Linked DNA regions of Danio rerio. The protein of the gene in region 1 purifies or fractionates together with the protein of each later gene. This does not show direct contact. Links are inferred from orthologs where the notes say so. Each region holds a gene or a part of one and is shown in the gene's direction. Other genes may lie near its edges. The genes, in order: insig1 and scap.

Region 1 (9,148 bases):
AGTTTGATTAGGTGTGTTTAAATAGGGTTGAAACTAAACTGTGCAGAGCTCTGGCCCTCCAGGAACTAGAATTGACACCTGTGTGCTACATACATTCTTAGGCTAAGTGCTGGTCACACAAACTATCAGCCTAATTTTAAACCCCACAATGACTGAGACTATGACCAATTCAAGACTCGTTGCAACAAACCTTTTTATTCATTCATTCATTCAATTTCTTTTCGACTTAATCCCTTTATTAATCTGAGGTCGCTAGAGTGGAATGAACCACCAACTTATCCAGCATGTTTTATGCAGCAGATGCACTTCCAGCCACAACCCATCACTGGGAAACTTCCATACACACTCATTCATTCACACACACTCAGACACTACGGTCAATTTTAGCTTACCCAATTCACCTGTACTAAATGACTTTGGACTTGTGGGATAAAACGGAGCATCCAGAGAAAACTCACGCGAACACAGGGAAACATGCAAACTCCACACAGAAATGCCAAGTGACCCAGCTGAGGCTGGAACCAGCGACCTTCTTGTTATGAGGTGAACATACTACCCCCTGCTCCACTGCAAACTTGTTAATAAAAATACTCAATTGTACTGAGGATTTTTTTACTGCTGGATGCCAAACCGTAAATAATAAACATGTCTAATAATTAAGACTTTAGTCGCACAATATAAGAGGCATGATGTTGATCTTCCTAAATTTTAGTTTTTAAAGGGCACCTATTTTACACCCTTCACAAGATGTAAGACAAGCCTTTGGTGTCTCCAAAATGTGTCTGTAAAGTTTCAGCTCAAAATACCCATCTGATTATTTATTAAAGGTTCAGGAAACCCTCGAGCACTTTTTTTTTGTTGTTGAGGTTTTTAAAGATTTGTTGATCATCAAAAAAAAAACAAATGTAGCAGGGCATTATATTACTGTTTATTTCTTTGCATTTTAACTTTGGAAACCTTAAAATCATGGATCTCCTCAAGGTTTGTGTCTCATTTTGTGTTGCCAACTGACAACAGTTCCCCTCCTTCTCCCCTGCTCTGCTGGCCACACCCACTCCTGCCTCTGCTCAAGGAGCTCCACACCCATTATGATGCTTTTTTTTAAATTTCTGAGGTAGACTTAAACCGTAAGTGGGGGGGTTCATGGCCCTTTAAAGCCTCCAGAATTTGCCCATTTTTGGTGTCTAAATACAGTGTAGCTGTTTTTGTAGCCTGTGGCTTTAAATGCAAATGAGCTTCTTCTCTCTGCCCACCTTCCCATGTGTGTGTCTGCTTCTGATCATGCGGTATGTCAGATAAACAGCACAGCGACAGAGACAGACTTGAATAAAGCTGAAATACAGTTATTCATCAAAAATACCAAGTTTATTTCATGTATTTGTGGTGGAGTTTTTTCAAGCCTTCCTGAAATTATGAATCTCACACAAATGCTGTTTGCAGTACACACACACACACACACACACACACACATTATGTTTACTGACACGATACAGTCGTGGTGAATATAGTGGTTAAGAATTGGATAGCATTTTACTGTCTTAATTCCAAACATGCTGTTTTAAAAAAGTTTTAAACTTATAAAAATCACTGAAAGTTGTAACAGATATTTTACTCCCAATTTATTTGCAAAACTCTCAGACTGCTTTTGAACATTCCAACATGTGCGTACTTATAGTCTGCAGGAACCTTAGGTCTTAAACAGACTTCAGTATTATGACATAATTCCAGCTGAAACAGAGTATTAGAGAAAAGGGTTTCACTTCAGCGCTTTACTTTATTAGCCGATTATTAAGAATATTGTGATTTCCAAAGAAGCGTCTTTCCAGAGCAGAAGCTAATGGAGTGGAGATAGACACGTTTACATGGAAATCAGTAATCAAATTATTTCTGAATATGGCAATATTATGATTAAGGTGTTTATGAGTAGCTTTTTGAATGTTCCTTTCATGATCCTGTTTTACATGTTATAGCACAAAATTCGATTATAACGTCATCACGCTATCCACATTTCCACATTTCCTCCGGAGTAATGTAATTTGATGTAATTTCGGGTGTTTCATTTTTAATTTGTTGACTTCAACTACAGTTTGACTCTTTCACTTTCATTCAGGAACATTTCATTCATGCCCCCTGTGACAAACAAGATATTGGATGAGATTAACAGCTGGAAGAGTGTTGTTTTAATATAATTTGATATCGCAGTTTGCCATCTTAATTAACATAAACAAAGAACACTGATCGCTTACCAAAACTAGACAGGACAATCAACATCAACTAGAACCGCGTTTTTTTTAAAAGAAGGAAAGCGGCAAATCTGGATTTCACCATTTCCAGATGTGAAAAGCTCATCTGGTAAAAAAAACACTGACGATCCATATCTCCAAACAATTCTTCTTCTACTACTTGTTTTAATTATGGTTGGTCATCTGGGCACTGTAACAGGTAAAAACCGTCTTTGAACTATATCATGCATATTAATGAAGTTGCACCTCATTCACAGTAGAGCGCGCTGATTGGTTCGAACCAAGTCTTTGTAATGAATTTATGCTGAAAACTCAGACATCATGTTGTACCGGTTCAGACATCCAGTCTCCATGCTGGAATTTACACTATGATCTCATGGCCGTAACGCAGCTTCAAAATTTCTTTTTAAATCTGAAGAATGAATTGGCTCAAATATTGCAAAACCCACCAATTTTCACTTTTTTGTGAAATATATGTGTCCTAATAGTGTTTTAGCAACGTGAGTCATATTTATGATTGTCAACATCTCAAAAAAATGTGTTTTGGTGTTTCGTGACTCGTTAACATCCACAGCACGTTTCCATTGCACATAAGTTTCTCTGTTGAAAAAAGGTTCATTAATGTGTTTAGGATGTCTTTCACACCAATAAAATAATGCTTCTTTTCTGAACTTTCATCAACACAAAAGCTTTTTAGATATCAAAAATGGTTATTTTCTAGCACTGCAACGAAAAGCCCATTTTGGAACCTTTATTGTAAAAACAGCAGCTAAAGAGTTGTTGACAGTCATTCTTGACAAGGGGCAAACATCAGACTCATTTATCTGGTGAGGAGTGGTTCCACTGAGGTAAGAGACTGAACTCTGTTCTGCTCTGAATCAATAAACTATAAGTACACAAGTTTATTTACAGTGGGGGAACAGCCCACTGAGCATCATGACCTGATTTCTTGTTTTCAGTCTCACGGACACGTACTGCACGCTGTCACGTATAGCCAACAAATCCGCATTATCTCATACACTTTCAGGGCCTGTTCACTCATAGTGAACTAAAAAAAAGTTCATATCAGCAAAAAGCTTTCTTGTCTGTACCCTGAAAAGATTACAAATACATTTACCCAACAAGTAGTTTGTTTTGTGCAAACAGGAGAACAGCAATATTGAACACTGAGAAAATCTCGAATCAGTGCTGTATTGCTTAGTTACTGAAAAGGATTTAGCAAAGCAAGGTCATTAAACTTAACCAATCTAGAAGTTTAAGACTTTTCTGCATGACTCTGGCATAGCGTCAACACACACACACACACACACACACACACACACACACACACACACACACACACACACACACACACACACACGCACACGCACACACGCACACGCACACACGCACACGCACACACACACACACACACACACACACAAGGCGAACAGCTGATGGCGAACATCAACAGCGCGTGTCTGTCAGAGAGGGGTGGCGCGCGTTCGCGTCATATGGCCCGCCGCACTCTGATTGGCTAGAGAGACTCACCAGACATGACCGCGCTTGTTTTCTGCAGAGGAAGCGCGCGTGTGGCAGTGTTCAACTGAGGGATGAAAAGAGGCAGCAGTATTTCTCTTACAGATGATGTGATCAAACAACACATCTAAACTATTTGTAGGTAGCCTTTCGTTTTTGTAAAAGAGTTTTGAAAGCACAGACGTGTTCTGCTTTAGACGAAGACATCGCTAAAAGATCAAGGTGGGTAGCCTATTCATTCCCTTTACTTCCACTTCATACTCATTGGGAACAGATTGTTTTTTGGGCTACAGCACTGCTTTTTGTAGCGTAATACTTGACTTTCAACATTATTTTATTTGATCAAGTTAGTGATAATTATTAATGAGTATTACTGTTTTCCAACAGTGCCAAATGCCAAGACTAGAGGAACATTGTTGGAGCTGCTCCTGTTCGACCAGTGTGAAGACGAAGGACCTGTCAAGCGCCGGCTGGATTGTCTGTAAAACGGGTGAAATGATGTCCATCATAACCTCAGTGCTGAGCCACGCGTACGGCTCTCTGCACAGCCTCCAGTCCGCCAATTTAATTCGACGGGGGCTTGTGTTGTTTATCGTGGGAGTTGTGCTCGCTTTGGTGTTAAACTTGCTACAGATCCAGAGAAACGTTACATTGTTTCCAGAGGAAGTGCTGGACACGCTATTTTCGTCCGCCTGGTGGATTCCCCTCTGCTGTGGCACCGCTGCTGGTGAGTCTGTCTGAAACACTTGGGCTCGAATGCTTTGTTCGTGACGATAACAAACAAAGACGGTGTGCTTGCTGAGGGCTTTTTGTTATCGTGTCTTTTATGTAAGATGAGTGATTCGGGGACAGTTTTGTTGACATTGGGCTTTGTAGCTATCAGTAAGCGCTGCCCTGGTAACAGCCGGGCATTTGGGGTCATTCTTGGGGTGCTGCATTCTCATTGGCTGCGCTCAGAACGGGTGAGCTGCGAGAGAGGCACGCCATTGGCTGGTACGCCGAACATGCCACTTACCCGAAAAGAGAAACACGGAAGTCGTGTGCAGCAGAAATTAATAAATAATTCGGTCACGCTCGACTCCTCCCCCTGCATTCCTCATAGTGGTGATGTGGACGCGTATCAGTTTACATCCTTTTCAGTAGAAAATGCCTTTTAAAGAGTTTTGTTGTACTTGAACTCTTCTTATGAGATTTATTTAAACACAAAAGTCATCACCCATTATTTATATACTAAAAGGCGTCAAACAATACCAAGCAGATGTAAAAAATGTTTTTTTCTTCTTCTTTTTTCCCCCTTTCAATGAATGTTGTTTAAAGTACTTTCTGTTTTCTCTTCTCAGCTGTGGTTGGTCTGTTGTACCCCTGCTTGGACCACCATCTTGGAGAACCACACAAGTTCAAGCGGGAGTGGGCAAGCGTGATGCGCTGCATTGCTGTCTTTGTGGGCATCAATCACGCCAGTGCTGTATCCTTAACAGTGACACTTTTACAGTTGCAACCATTGTGGACAATGAAAACTTCCAAACCTTTTTGAGATTTTTGTTTTAAGTCTGTAATAAGCCATGTTACTATTCAATAGCATTAGACAAATCCTTTTTTTTCTTAATCTCTTAACTGTCACATATTTATTTGTTTTTGTCTGAACCTGAATTTATCTTGACAAATTATACATCAAAGGCTAAACTAAAAAAGTGGGGTGACCCGTTAAAGTACTAAACATATTTACACAGCAATAATCTATGCAACGAGAATTATGCTTATCTAATATTTTTAAAAAGTCTTATGTATTGAGGATAGTTGTAATAACGCTGAAAAATGACTAGAAATGCTCAGTACTCTGACCCGGCCAGAAGTTGAAAACTCTGCACACGATATCATTTAACCTTTTTTAAGTTTTGTTTTGACGACTCTGAGTCTGTGTTTTTGGGTAAATGAACAGCAAAAATGCATAAAAGTTTTTATTTTTTGTTGTCATGTAAATATACCTTAAAACTTTACATTAACTCTGAACTCAAACAGTAACATGCACTTCATTGCCAAGAAACCCCATGTAAATGAGAACTGGGTTTTTTAAGAACTAAAAAAAAAAGTTTTTAATAAATTTGACTACAAAGTTTTTGTGGAACCTGTTTACTGCTCTCCAAATGTGTGGACCAGCAAAAACTTGGGAACCTGCACAAACTCAATTCTTGAGTTAACATCACAATGTTTTCAAAATGTATGTTAACATAAGAATATTTTGCTTAACTCAAAGTACCTTACAGAAACTGGACTTTGCTAACAATGTGCAGCTATCGCTAACTCTGGCTGCCCTGTCTCTGGGTCTGTGGTGGACATTTGACCGCTCCAGGAGTGGCTTTGGTTTAGGGCTGACCACTGCCCTGCTGGCCACTCTCATTGCTCAGCTGCTGGTCTACAACGGCATCTACCAGTAAGTTATGACTCAAACATGTTGACAAACAGCAACAGAAAACTGTTTTCATATCAACTAGCAAGTAACTAACACTCTCACATATTCATAATTTTAGTCGTAGAACATGTTTTTTTTGTAAGAAACATTAGCAAATATTATATCAAGTGCAAACACTCAGTTTTGTTTTTCCTTTAAGCAGCTCGTCATTTCAGTCCTTTTCTTCATTTGTTACCAGGTATACTTCTCCAGACTTCTTGTATGTCCGTTCATGGCTGCCTTGTATATTCTTCTCTGGCGGAGTGACTGTTGGAAATATTGGCAGACAACTAGCTATGGTAAGAAACTGCCCCTCATACCAGCCCCCTTTTCCAGTCTTTCATATTCCACAGAATAACTGATGTACTTGATTACTCATGTATTGTGGTTAGTTTCCTCTTGTGTTATGCACAAAGCCAATGGCCACTTTTGTTTAGCTTAAAATAAATAAATGGCAGAAATGAAACTTAGCTTTAGCTAAAGCAAAAGTGAAACTCAATATCTTGGCTCATCAGCTATTCAGCTGTTCCTCTTCTACTTGTATCCAGCCTGCGTGTTTTAGGAAGTAAATCAAACTTGGAGCCAGAATATTTAACTCAACAATTTCAATGTGTACAATTTAGCATGCAGCCGTAAGCTCTGTTCAGACAGGATTATTTTCTAAATGACATTAAAAGACAGTCATTAAAACAGGACTTGTGGCTTTCATAAACTGATTCCAATTAGGTTGGGAATCAAGTTTAACATTAGCAAAAGGAAGTGTAAAGATGGCTTGGGTTATTGTATTTGATGAAGGTAAAACTATCTAGATGTGAACAAACTAGGTAGCTGAAAAGTGGCAGGCAGTTTGTATTGTAATATTCATTTATACTTATAAAAATAAGCTAACTAAGTTTTAAATCTGCCTTAAATAAATGAAAACTAGGATTTAGGATTTTTGTGCATTCTCTTAAATATGTATAAACTATTTTCAGTATCCAATGTATTTCTTTAAAGCAACCAGTTTACCATTTTAGTGTTCTTTTGACACCCTCTAGCGCCTGAGCAGAAACGTCATGCTTGGACATCTTAATTAGCTTGTTTGTGCCATCCCCTCCAAGCCTTCTCAGTCAGCTGTGGCTCTTTGTCTTGCTGACATACCCTAGTTCTTTCTCAATAAGGGCGTGAAAGAAGATTACGCTCCTTGTTTTTCATGCTAATGGTCAGAGAGATGGTAAACAAAGTGCTTTACTGGCTCCAAGTGGTGCATTCTACACGTTGTTACTGGATGCTTTTTGTTTTCGAGCTGGCATCGGCTGATTTTGCTTGACCAATTGGGATTAGTGCTCTGCTAGTATTTTTCCCAGCTTTCTTTATGGAGGGGCCAGTTAAGAGATAGAGTTGATTAAAAAAACTAGAGGTAAATAAATCTAGTAAACCCGGACGTTTGCGTTTGTTAATCTTTTCATGTAAATAATGGCTGTATTTTAGAATACAACTATGATCATCAATTATGGTCACTCTACATAGTTTGGTTTAACATCTGACTAATTAAATAGTTCGATATCTAGTTTACACCATTAACACCTTTACCTTTTTATCATCGTCATTTCGTTGTGTACTGTAGGTGCACTGGAATCATTTAGAGAACATTGCCTGTATATGAAACGTTGTCATTTTTATTTCAACATTAGCTTTCCTAAAGACGGATTCAGCTGCCCTTGGGTGAGGCATGGCAGACAGTGCTGACCTACGAGGGGCTATCAAATTTTACAAGGCTGCCCATCCACATATAATCCTAACATATACAAAGCCCATTTCTTATATATAGTGCATACTAATTATGGCCACAGTGTTGAGAGGCCAAGTGGGTTTAACGGGATCAGGCTCAGCTTCATGAAAACCAATTTTGAGTTGCTCAAAGCACATTTTTAAAAGCACACCTGGGAACATGCTGGAACATATTTAGGTAGTTTGAAAGTCAGCCAAGTGCTCTGACTAATACATAATAATATAGTCAGGATAGTTTCTGCATATTAATGCTGCTTTTTGGTTGTATTGTACGCTGGTGTAGTTTATGCCCATTCCTATATTTTATGGAAATTAGGGACTTAATGCAAATTGAGCTGTTTTTCAGTTGTATCTATTTGGTTGTGAATATACTGTATTTTCACCTAACAGACTGTCTGTCTTCTTCCACAGGGCTCGACTGAGAAGATTCATAATGACTAAACAGGTGTCAGAGGGCATGAAGTGAGCTTCGAAGAGTGCCAAAAAAGGACATCTGATATTCTATACTGGGCGTCCCTGGTGTCTATCCAAGCGTATCTTCTGCTTTTAATTTTGCTCCTCTTTATAACTATAAAAGAAAAGAAAGAGCGGGTTGGTCTGAGCTGGCCCAATGTGCCATGAACAACACCTCTGAATAGCCAAAAGATTCCCCCTGGCATTCATTACTACCATCAGCGTCATTATCGTCGTTGTTGTTGTTGTTGTTACAGCTCCTAGCAGTAGTGTTACGGTTGCTGAAGTGCCACTATAGGACTGTGAAAAAAAAATCATAGCTGGTTTCACTGACGATGAAACTACTTGTGAAACCACATCTACAATTGAGCGTGTGCTGGTCCTATGGATAAGACCAGGGGGAAAAAAGACAGTGTGAAAATTCACACTTTTTTAGTTTTACTTTGTGCTGGAGAACTGAAAGAAGAAATCAAAGGGAATAAATACAAGAATACCTAAAATATCCAAAGAGGTCTGTGTACTGTCTATATAGGATTAGTTGTAGTTTGATTTTTGAGCTACCCTTAAAGACTGACCACTTTGAGTATTACTATGAATACCAGAGAGCTTTGATTGCCAATCACATTTGTGCCGACTGGTTAGTGTAGTATACTGACTGAATTGATCGTGTTTTTACCATACTTTGTTGCTAATGTAAACCAAAAGTAAGACTAGA
Region 2 (8,443 bases), on another chromosome or scaffold:
ATTCTTGTATATAATGTTAAATTAATATTATAGAGCAATTATATCTATTATTTACTTTATATATTTATTTATTTATTAAATATTTATTTTGTTTATATTGTTTATTCTCATATTTCTTTAATGCTAAAGGTCACTTCGAGCCACCAAGCTAATTTCATTGTATCACTACAAGTCTCTTATGCTTTATAATGTGTGTGTGTTTGTGCAGAGTGGCAGCTCTTGGGCTTTTCGCTGGTGTTTTGCTGGTGCTCTTACTCTTCTGTCTGTATCGTGTGCTCTGCCCTCGAAACTATGGGCAGAACGGTGTGCCCCATGGCCGTCGTCGTCGTGGAGACCTGCCCTGCGATGAGTACGGATATTCACCCCCCATCAGTGAAATTTCCCCTCTGCTGCTGAGAGGTCACAGTATGGTACGTTGACTGGAGTCATGCAGGATTGAATTTATTTTTCCATAAATACAGTCTTGAGATATTTAAAAGATCTTTTGGCACCTCTCTTCAGGACATTGAGTGTCTGGCCAGTGATGGCATGCTGCTGGCCAGCTGTTGCCTGGCAGGACAGATCCGTGTATGGGACGCACAGACTGGAGACTGTCTCACTGTTATACCCAACAAAGGGTAAGGAAATGTATAACTATAATAAATAGACAGACTGCTTAATGTTCAATTAATGTACACTCAAAAAATTATATTTACTGTAATCTGCTTGTTTAAAATATTTTTGGGGGGGGCAACTTAATTATTTTATGTTCAACCCTTTTTAATTCGTAAAATCGAATAAGTTAACTGATCATTTTTATGTTGTCCCAACACAAATCGATTTTGTGGAACCCAGCATTTTTAATGATGTACATATAAAATAAAGTTTTTTTTACATATATAATAATAAATGTGCATATAGACAATTAATAAAATATTACATTCATTCATTCATTTTCTTTTCGGCTTAGTCCCTATATTAATCTGGGGTCGCCACAGTGGAATGAACCACCAACTTATGCAGCGCATGCCTTTCCAGCCGCAACCCATCTCTGGGAAACATCCACACACACTCATTCTCACACACAAACACTCATACACTACGGACAATTTAGCCTACCCAATTCACCTGTACCGCATGTCTTTGGACTGTGGGGGAAACCAGAGCACCCGGAGGAAACCCAAGCAAACGCAGAGAGAACATGCAAACTCCACACAGAAACACAGAGGCTCGAACCAGTGACCTTCTTGCTGTGAGGTGACAGCACTACCTACTGCGCCACTGCGTCACTGGAAAATACTATATTTTACATTCATTTTAACTGTTTTAAAAATTGTTATTTCCACTAGTCCTGGATTTATTTGATAATATTACAAAAAAACATGATAATATAAATTGTAAACATTTTTAAATGGTCGATGTGGTTAGTGGTTAGTGCATCGACATAGCACTGAGATGCTTACAGAGATTGATTCCTTTCCGATTCTACCCCTCTCTCTGCTCCCCATGAATTCTTGTCTCTACTTACTTTCTTATAAAATAAAATAAAAAAACGTTAAAAAATATATATATGTATATATATATATATATTTTTTTTTTTTTATTGAAGTATTGCTACAATAAAATGTTTTCTTTTAAATATTACTGTGACTAAAATATTGCTATAATATTACCTGTGATGTTGATTTTTTTTATTATTACAGCGCAAAGTCTTAAAATGTCTTACATTTAAAAAAACATTTTAAATGGGTCTTAGTTTTCCTTTGTTTATGCAAAGCTACCCAGTTGAAAAAGAAATGTGCGCACATCTAGGAATCTCAAAGGCTGGTGCTCGATCAAAAACAAACACCGTAACAAAAGAAAATCGACGCACTGCCACTTTACCTCTCAAAAAAATTGAGATGGTCACCTGATGAAGACCATGTAGTTCGAAACATGACATTAAAACATTTTTTGAGAGCTACAGTTAAGTGGCAGTGTGCCGATTTTCTTTTAATCTAAAGCTACCCATTGATCTATCACACATCCAATCTTTAATAATACATCTCAATAAAACTTTTACCAATAGTCTATTCATAACTAATATTATTACAGTCTTTTGTGCATACATTTAGTTTATTAAAGTTTTAAAGAGTTATTTTTAAGTTATGCTAAAACAAATTGCATGGATTTAAAGTGGGAACATTTTTAAAATATGTGCAGAACAAGCAATGAGATGCTGATTAACTGATCATACAGTATTCATTGTGTGTTAGTCTTTCCATGCTTTTTTGGCATGGTAAAATAAAACCCATATTTTGTCATAAACCATTTTCTCATTTAAATACCATACACAAGTTTAGTGTTTTCCTCTTCCCAATGTATCTTGTTTATCATATCTTGCTGGTTTAATTCAACTTACACAATAATAAAAAAAAAAAAATCACCTTGACCACTACTGTATTGTGTATTTTAACATGCTTGTGTCCTCTGTTAGCCTGCGCAGGAGCAGCAGCAACGGTTGTTGGGAGCACCGTGATGGCTGGGATCACATCAGTGCTTTTGAAGTAGAGGGAATAGCTACAGACTTTCGAGAACCAGGAGGAGCGATGGGAGGCCCAGATGTAGATATTTTCGCTATAAGGAGGAGGACCACCCCTGCTCGTCCTGCACTGTTTGGAGACCAACCAGACCTCACGCCTCTCATCGACACCAACTTCGGGGCGCTGCCTCCATCTCAGGCCCTGAGCGGCTCTGGCTTTGACTTTGGGAGTTTGGTGGAGAAAGCGTACCAGGAGCATGAGCCCTCTCCAGTGTTGGTCTTCCCTCCGTCTCCTCCAGCCTCACAGCAGAGACGCCGCAGCCTCGGGGATCAGCCGGTCCTGCCTCCTGAGCTCCCTCCACAGAGCAGTGCAGACTGGGACAGCTCAGTGTGGGCCATGGAGCTCAGGGGGAACCTCATTGCTACGGGCCGCAGCACTGGAAAATTGGAGGTGAGGGAAAGATGTGATGTTTTTTAACCGTAAATACCTAAAGTTAAAGCCAATATAATTTTTTCTTTTTCAAATATTTTCCAAATGATATTTAACAGAGCAAGGAATTTTTAAAAGTATTTCCTGTAATATCTTTTCTTCTGGAGAAAGTCTTATTTGTTTTATTTCAGCTTGAATAAAACCAGTTGAATTTTTTTTAAAACCATTTTAAGGTCAATATTATTAGCCCCCCTTAAGCAATATTTGTTTTTTGATAGTCTACAGAACAAACCATCGTTATACAATGAGTTGCCTAATTACCCTAACTTGCCTTATCAACCTAGCCTTTAAATGTCAGTTTTAAGCCTTTAAATTTAACTTTAAGCTGAATACCAGCATCTTGATGTCTAGTAAAATAATATGTACTGTCAACATGGCTAAGACAAAATAAATCAGTTATTAAACTATTTTGTTTAAAAATGTGCTGAAAATTGTATGTACATTTTAGGATTCTTATAAAAAACAGCGTTTTTAAGTACAAATATCCCCATAAATACTAATAATGTGCTCAACTGGGTGTACATTTTGAATCAGATTAAAAGATATTATGTTCATGAACTTGATGGAAACACATTTTCTGAATAAATTCCTTGATGCACATCAAAACCATCTTAGGATTTTTCCTCAACAGATAATGTGATTGTATAACTAGATTAACCAGTAAACTGGTTTGCTATCTACTGGTCTGAGGTGGAACTGAAGTGTAAAGAGGAAAAAAAGATAAAAAAATATATATTATTCATATGTGACCCTGCCCTGGAACACACCACCTTATGGTGATTTTGGCAAACGACAAAAATGCATTTAATGGGTTCAAATTATAAATTTTTCTTTCATGCAAAAAAACATATTTGAGTATTAAATAAAAATTGTGTTCCATTTTATATATTTAGTAAATTTCGGTCTGTAAATGTATCAAAACTCGTTACTAGGGCCAGACATAATCTGCGGACATTGTGTGCTATTTCTGCTGAGAATTTAGTAAAAAAAATAAGATTTATTTGGAATGATTAGGAGTATCGTAACTAAAAACTTAATATATATAAAATAATATAATATATGTTTTTAACTTTTATTTCATTTTTAATTTATTTTCATTACTTAATTTAAACAACTTTTAAAGGCAGTTTTGTCAGTATTTGCATGTTTTTGATGTTTTGAAACCTCAGATTCTCTGATAGTTGTTTCTCTGTCAGATATTGATCTATCCTAACAACGTATACATCAATGAAAAGCCTATTTATTTTTTTAATAAAGAAATGACATTTAAGACATTTATCATTCTAGTTTCTTCGTTTTCTTAACTTTCCTTCTGTTGAACCCATGAAAATGTAAACTGCACTTTATAAATATTTCTATTTTTAAGCATAATGTAAATTCAGAACTTTGGATGGGCTCATAGCTAGGGTTTTTAACTTACCTTCTTTATTTTCTGTTCTACCAGCTGTGGGATGCAGTAGAGGGATCTTTACGGTGCAGTAATGAAGATGGAGTTTCTGGAATTACAGCCTTGGCTTTTCTTAACAACAGGTGCATTTCACAGCAATATGAATTGCATGCCTAAGCCACACCAGTTTCACACCAGCTTGCATTCTTCTGCTAACAGTGATGTTTTCTTTTGCAGAATTGTTGCAGCCCGATTAAATGGCTCACTGGATTTTTTCACAGTGGAGATCAACAAGCCACTCGGGTTGCTGCAATATCGAGGTGAGGCATGTCTTTAAGTATTCGGCAAAGAACATTAAAACACTTCTGTTTTTAAAAACCCTGCAAATATCAGGGAATGTAGTGTCAGGAAATGTAATGAAAATTGAAATGTGATGTATACTCATTGACTTAAGTAATTTTTTGACAGTTCACTAAATGCTCTAAATAGCACTTTAAAAAAAATCCTTCAACTCCTCGAATTTCATTGTACGTACAAACCATGATATTATTAAAGATTTTAAGCGAATTAAAAATATATCAAGTCTGGGTAAAGTTTTATTATTGTAGTTTTCTTTGCGGCATGTGTGATTTCAGGGAAATAGTTTTTAGAACTCCAGACCCAATGTTAAAAAAAGAACTGGTAAATTTCTGGAAATATATTAGATCAGAAGGCATGGAAATGTAAAAAATAGTTTACCTGATATATATTTTTGCATCAGGACCACCAGGCCGAGGTAGTCTACCACCGTCCCCCTGTTACAGCAGCGAGGATGTAATCAGCTGTCATCTCACTCGCTCAGTACAGTGTGCCCATCAGAAACCCATCACTGTGCTGAAAGCTGCTGCTGGCAGAGTGGTCACCGGCAGCCAGGACCATACAGTCAGGGTAAGATCATTTATATATAACACACACACACACATATATATATATATATATATATATATATATATATATATATATATATATATATATATATATATATATATATTTATTACAATAGCTTGATAATCTGAAAAGCAAAGGAAGCAACACTTATATAATAAAGTTTACCTAAAATATTAGGTGCTAACGCTTTATGTAGGCACAGATTCTGATTCCTACAGTTAACGCATGCCTACTTTTTATTTAATCTAATTCAGTTCATTTCAATTCAAGTTTATTTGCATAGCGCTTTTTACAATAATTCTAATTTTAATTCCTTTTTAGGTGTATCGTTTGGAGGATTCTTGTTGCCTCTTCACCCTGCAGGGCCACTCAGGTGGTATAACCGCCATCTACATAGACCAGGTCAGAAGCACACCACTATATCACACTTGCATGCTTGTGCAGTACTGCAATGATTGATTAATTGATTGATTGGTTGGTTGGTTGATTGGTTGATTGATTGACAATGAATGGACAAATAAATTAATGTGTGGTTGGTATGTGGAAATATGAGTGAATGGATAGATAGATGGTGACAATGGTGCATACATGGTTGGATACAGGGGTGAATACTAGGTATGAGCTGTTATAAGATTCTGATGGTATGATAACCTTGGATAAAAATATCACGGTTTCACAGTATCATGGTATTGTGATCACTGCTTTAAAATACAATTTTTATTTTCATTTATTTTATTTTTAGTTTATTTTAAATGTCTGGGTAAAAACACAACAACTTTTTGTCAATATATTTTATTTTAAGAAACATTTAAAATAGTTTGGAACAGTAAACATGTCAGACTAAATAACAAAAATAAATCATTGCCTTCTAAAATCGACTTCTTTATCCTTTACTTTTCCCAATTTGTGAAGTTTTTTTTCCTCACCACTGTCACCACTGGCTTGCATAGTTCGGGACTTGTAGAGCTGCGCACCGATGGATTTGCTCTTCAGTGTTTGGACTCTCAACAGTGAATATTAAAACACACTGAACTGAGCTAAACTGAACTACACTTAAACTCTAAAAACTAAAATGACACCATTTCAGTTCACTTTAATCTTCTATGTAAGCCTGCTTTGACACTATCTACATTGTAAAAGCACTATGCAAATAAAGATGAATTGAATTAAAAAGTTAAAAAATTTTATTCAATTTCATATACTGTAGGAACGGTATTACAGGAACATTTAACATTTAGGTTTTAAAACGTTGACTTTTCCAAAACCACAGTAAACCTTGAAACTAGTTATTATCCCATGCCTAGTGAATACATGGATGTATTGTTGTTGGATACATGAATGAACACATGGAGGATACATACATGTATGGGTGCATAAATGCATATTTTGATGGATGGAAGTATATAATATTGGGTGGATATGTTGATTGATAGATAAGATATCTATATTCAGGGTTCCCATAATGATGACATTTTATAAGGTTTATTCCAGACCTATTGAAAGTCAGGGGATTTTATATTTGTTTGGTCCAGGTCATGTCATAACAGGGAAATCAAGAGTTTGTCATTTAAAATTTTACTTAAATATAAATATAAATATATATATATATTTTTCACTTAAATTTTATTCCTTTTCTCACTTGGCAACTGGCAATTATACAGTCACCAGGCTGAACCTGTTAAAATACTGTCACTGGCTAAATTTTGTCTGCTCAGTGCTCAACCAGTCCCTCCTAGATTTAACAAAATTAAGTTTTGATTTTTGCAGCCTAATAGGACTATTCTCCAAATTTGTGGCAATATTTACGACATTTGTTGTGTTGTTTTGAAAACATACACAAAATCACACATCTTAGTAGTATTGTTTTTTTTACCTGAAGATCTACTCAAGACAACTTCTGACTTTTTTTTCATCATAAGTCATGGAAAAAATTTTTAGTCAGTAAAATTCAGGGAACAGTCATGCCATTTTACATTAGACTTTAAATGGAAACGATGTATATTAATTGATGGATGAATGAATGGATGGATAGGTGGGTTAAATCATTTAACTTTCTGTTATTACAATAGTAAGCACATGATTCAGGAGCACTAAAATAAAGTGTTACCTATTCTCTCCAACACTAATGTCCTTCTGTGCTTTGTTATAGACTATGGTTCTAGCCAGTGGAGGCCAAGATGGAGCCATCTGCGTGTGGGATGTCCTAACAGGCAGCCGGGTGAGCCACGTGTACGGTCATCGTGGTGATGTCACCTCACTGGTTTGCACAACATCCTGCATCATTAGCAGCGGTTTGGATGACCTCATTTGCATTTGGGACCGAAGCACAGGCATTAAGCTGTACTCAATACAACAGGTGCGTGATTGGAAGAGTTAAAGGGATAGTTCACACAAAAATCACTATTTACTCACCCGCAAATGTTTTCAACCGAGTTTCTGCCTTCTGTCGAACACTTTTGAAGAAAACTTTCATAAAAGGAACTTTCATAATAGGAAAAACAAACACTATGGAAGTCTATGGTTACAGGATTCAAACACTTTTCAAAGTATCGTAATTTGTGTTACACAGAAGAAAGAAACTGAAACAGTGTTGGAAAACAGCATTGTTGTAAATAAAAATACATCATCATTATCTTCTCAAACAGTGTTGAAACAAATAAAGGGTGAGTAAATGTCAACCGAATATTAATTTTTTGTGAACTATCCTTTTAAGACCGTGTGAATCATTCAACAAAATGAGCATTTTACACAGATATTCTCGTGTTTCAGGAGGTGGGATGTGGGGCCAGTCTGGGGGTGATTTCTGAAAATCTGCTGGTGACCGGAGGACAAGGCTGCGTGTCATTTTGGGACCTGAACTATGGGGACCTGCTGCAGACGGTGTACCTGGGGCCGAGCAGTGAAGGTCAGAGCGTCCGGCAGCTCCTGGTTTTGGACAACGCCGCCATCATCTGTGACTTTGGTAGCGAGCTCAGTCTGGTCTATGTGCCCTCTGTTCTGGAGAAGCTGGACTGAGCACAAACACACATGAACAGCAGCCTGCAGATTCGCAGAGCGGCTGGCAACCCAAGCACTCACCCTTTAAAGAGCATCACCGCTGGGTCACTGCACACATGAATGGCGTTTACATGTCCTCTTA

What was found.
Region 2: the proteins of insig1 (region 1) and scap purify together in Homo sapiens (affinity purification with western blotting; 11 studies listed by BioGRID and IntAct, with this or other methods). This does not show direct contact. The link is inferred for Danio rerio from reciprocal best matches to the Homo sapiens genes INSIG1 and SCAP.

What each region holds. Positions count from the first base shown.
Region 1 is NC_133182.1:41,357,448-41,366,595, reverse strand, and holds the start of insig1 (insulin-induced gene 1 protein), read left to right. Parts: upstream 1-3,824; 5' UTR 3,825-3,983; intron 3,984-4,148; 5' UTR 4,149-4,154; coding exon 4,155-4,488; intron 4,489-5,101; coding exon 5,102-5,226; intron 5,227-5,841; exon of another isoform or gene 5,842-6,025; coding exon 6,026-6,192; exon of another isoform or gene 6,193-6,409; coding exon 6,410-6,509; intron 6,510-8,391; coding exon 8,392-8,421; 3' UTR 8,422-9,148. UniProt on the Homo sapiens protein: Oxysterol-binding protein that mediates feedback control of cholesterol synthesis by controlling both endoplasmic reticulum to Golgi transport of SCAP and degradation of HMGCR.
Region 2 is NC_133191.1:45,513,922-45,522,364, forward strand, and holds part of scap (sterol regulatory element-binding protein cleavage-activating protein), read left to right. Parts: intron 1-208; coding exon 209-410; intron 411-501; coding exon 502-617; intron 618-2,455; coding exon 2,456-2,951; intron 2,952-4,434; coding exon 4,435-4,520; intron 4,521-4,614; coding exon 4,615-4,697; intron 4,698-5,137; coding exon 5,138-5,304; intron 5,305-5,625; coding exon 5,626-5,706; intron 5,707-7,453; coding exon 7,454-7,660; intron 7,661-8,073; coding exon 8,074-8,319; 3' UTR 8,320-8,443. UniProt on the Homo sapiens protein: Escort protein required for cholesterol as well as lipid homeostasis.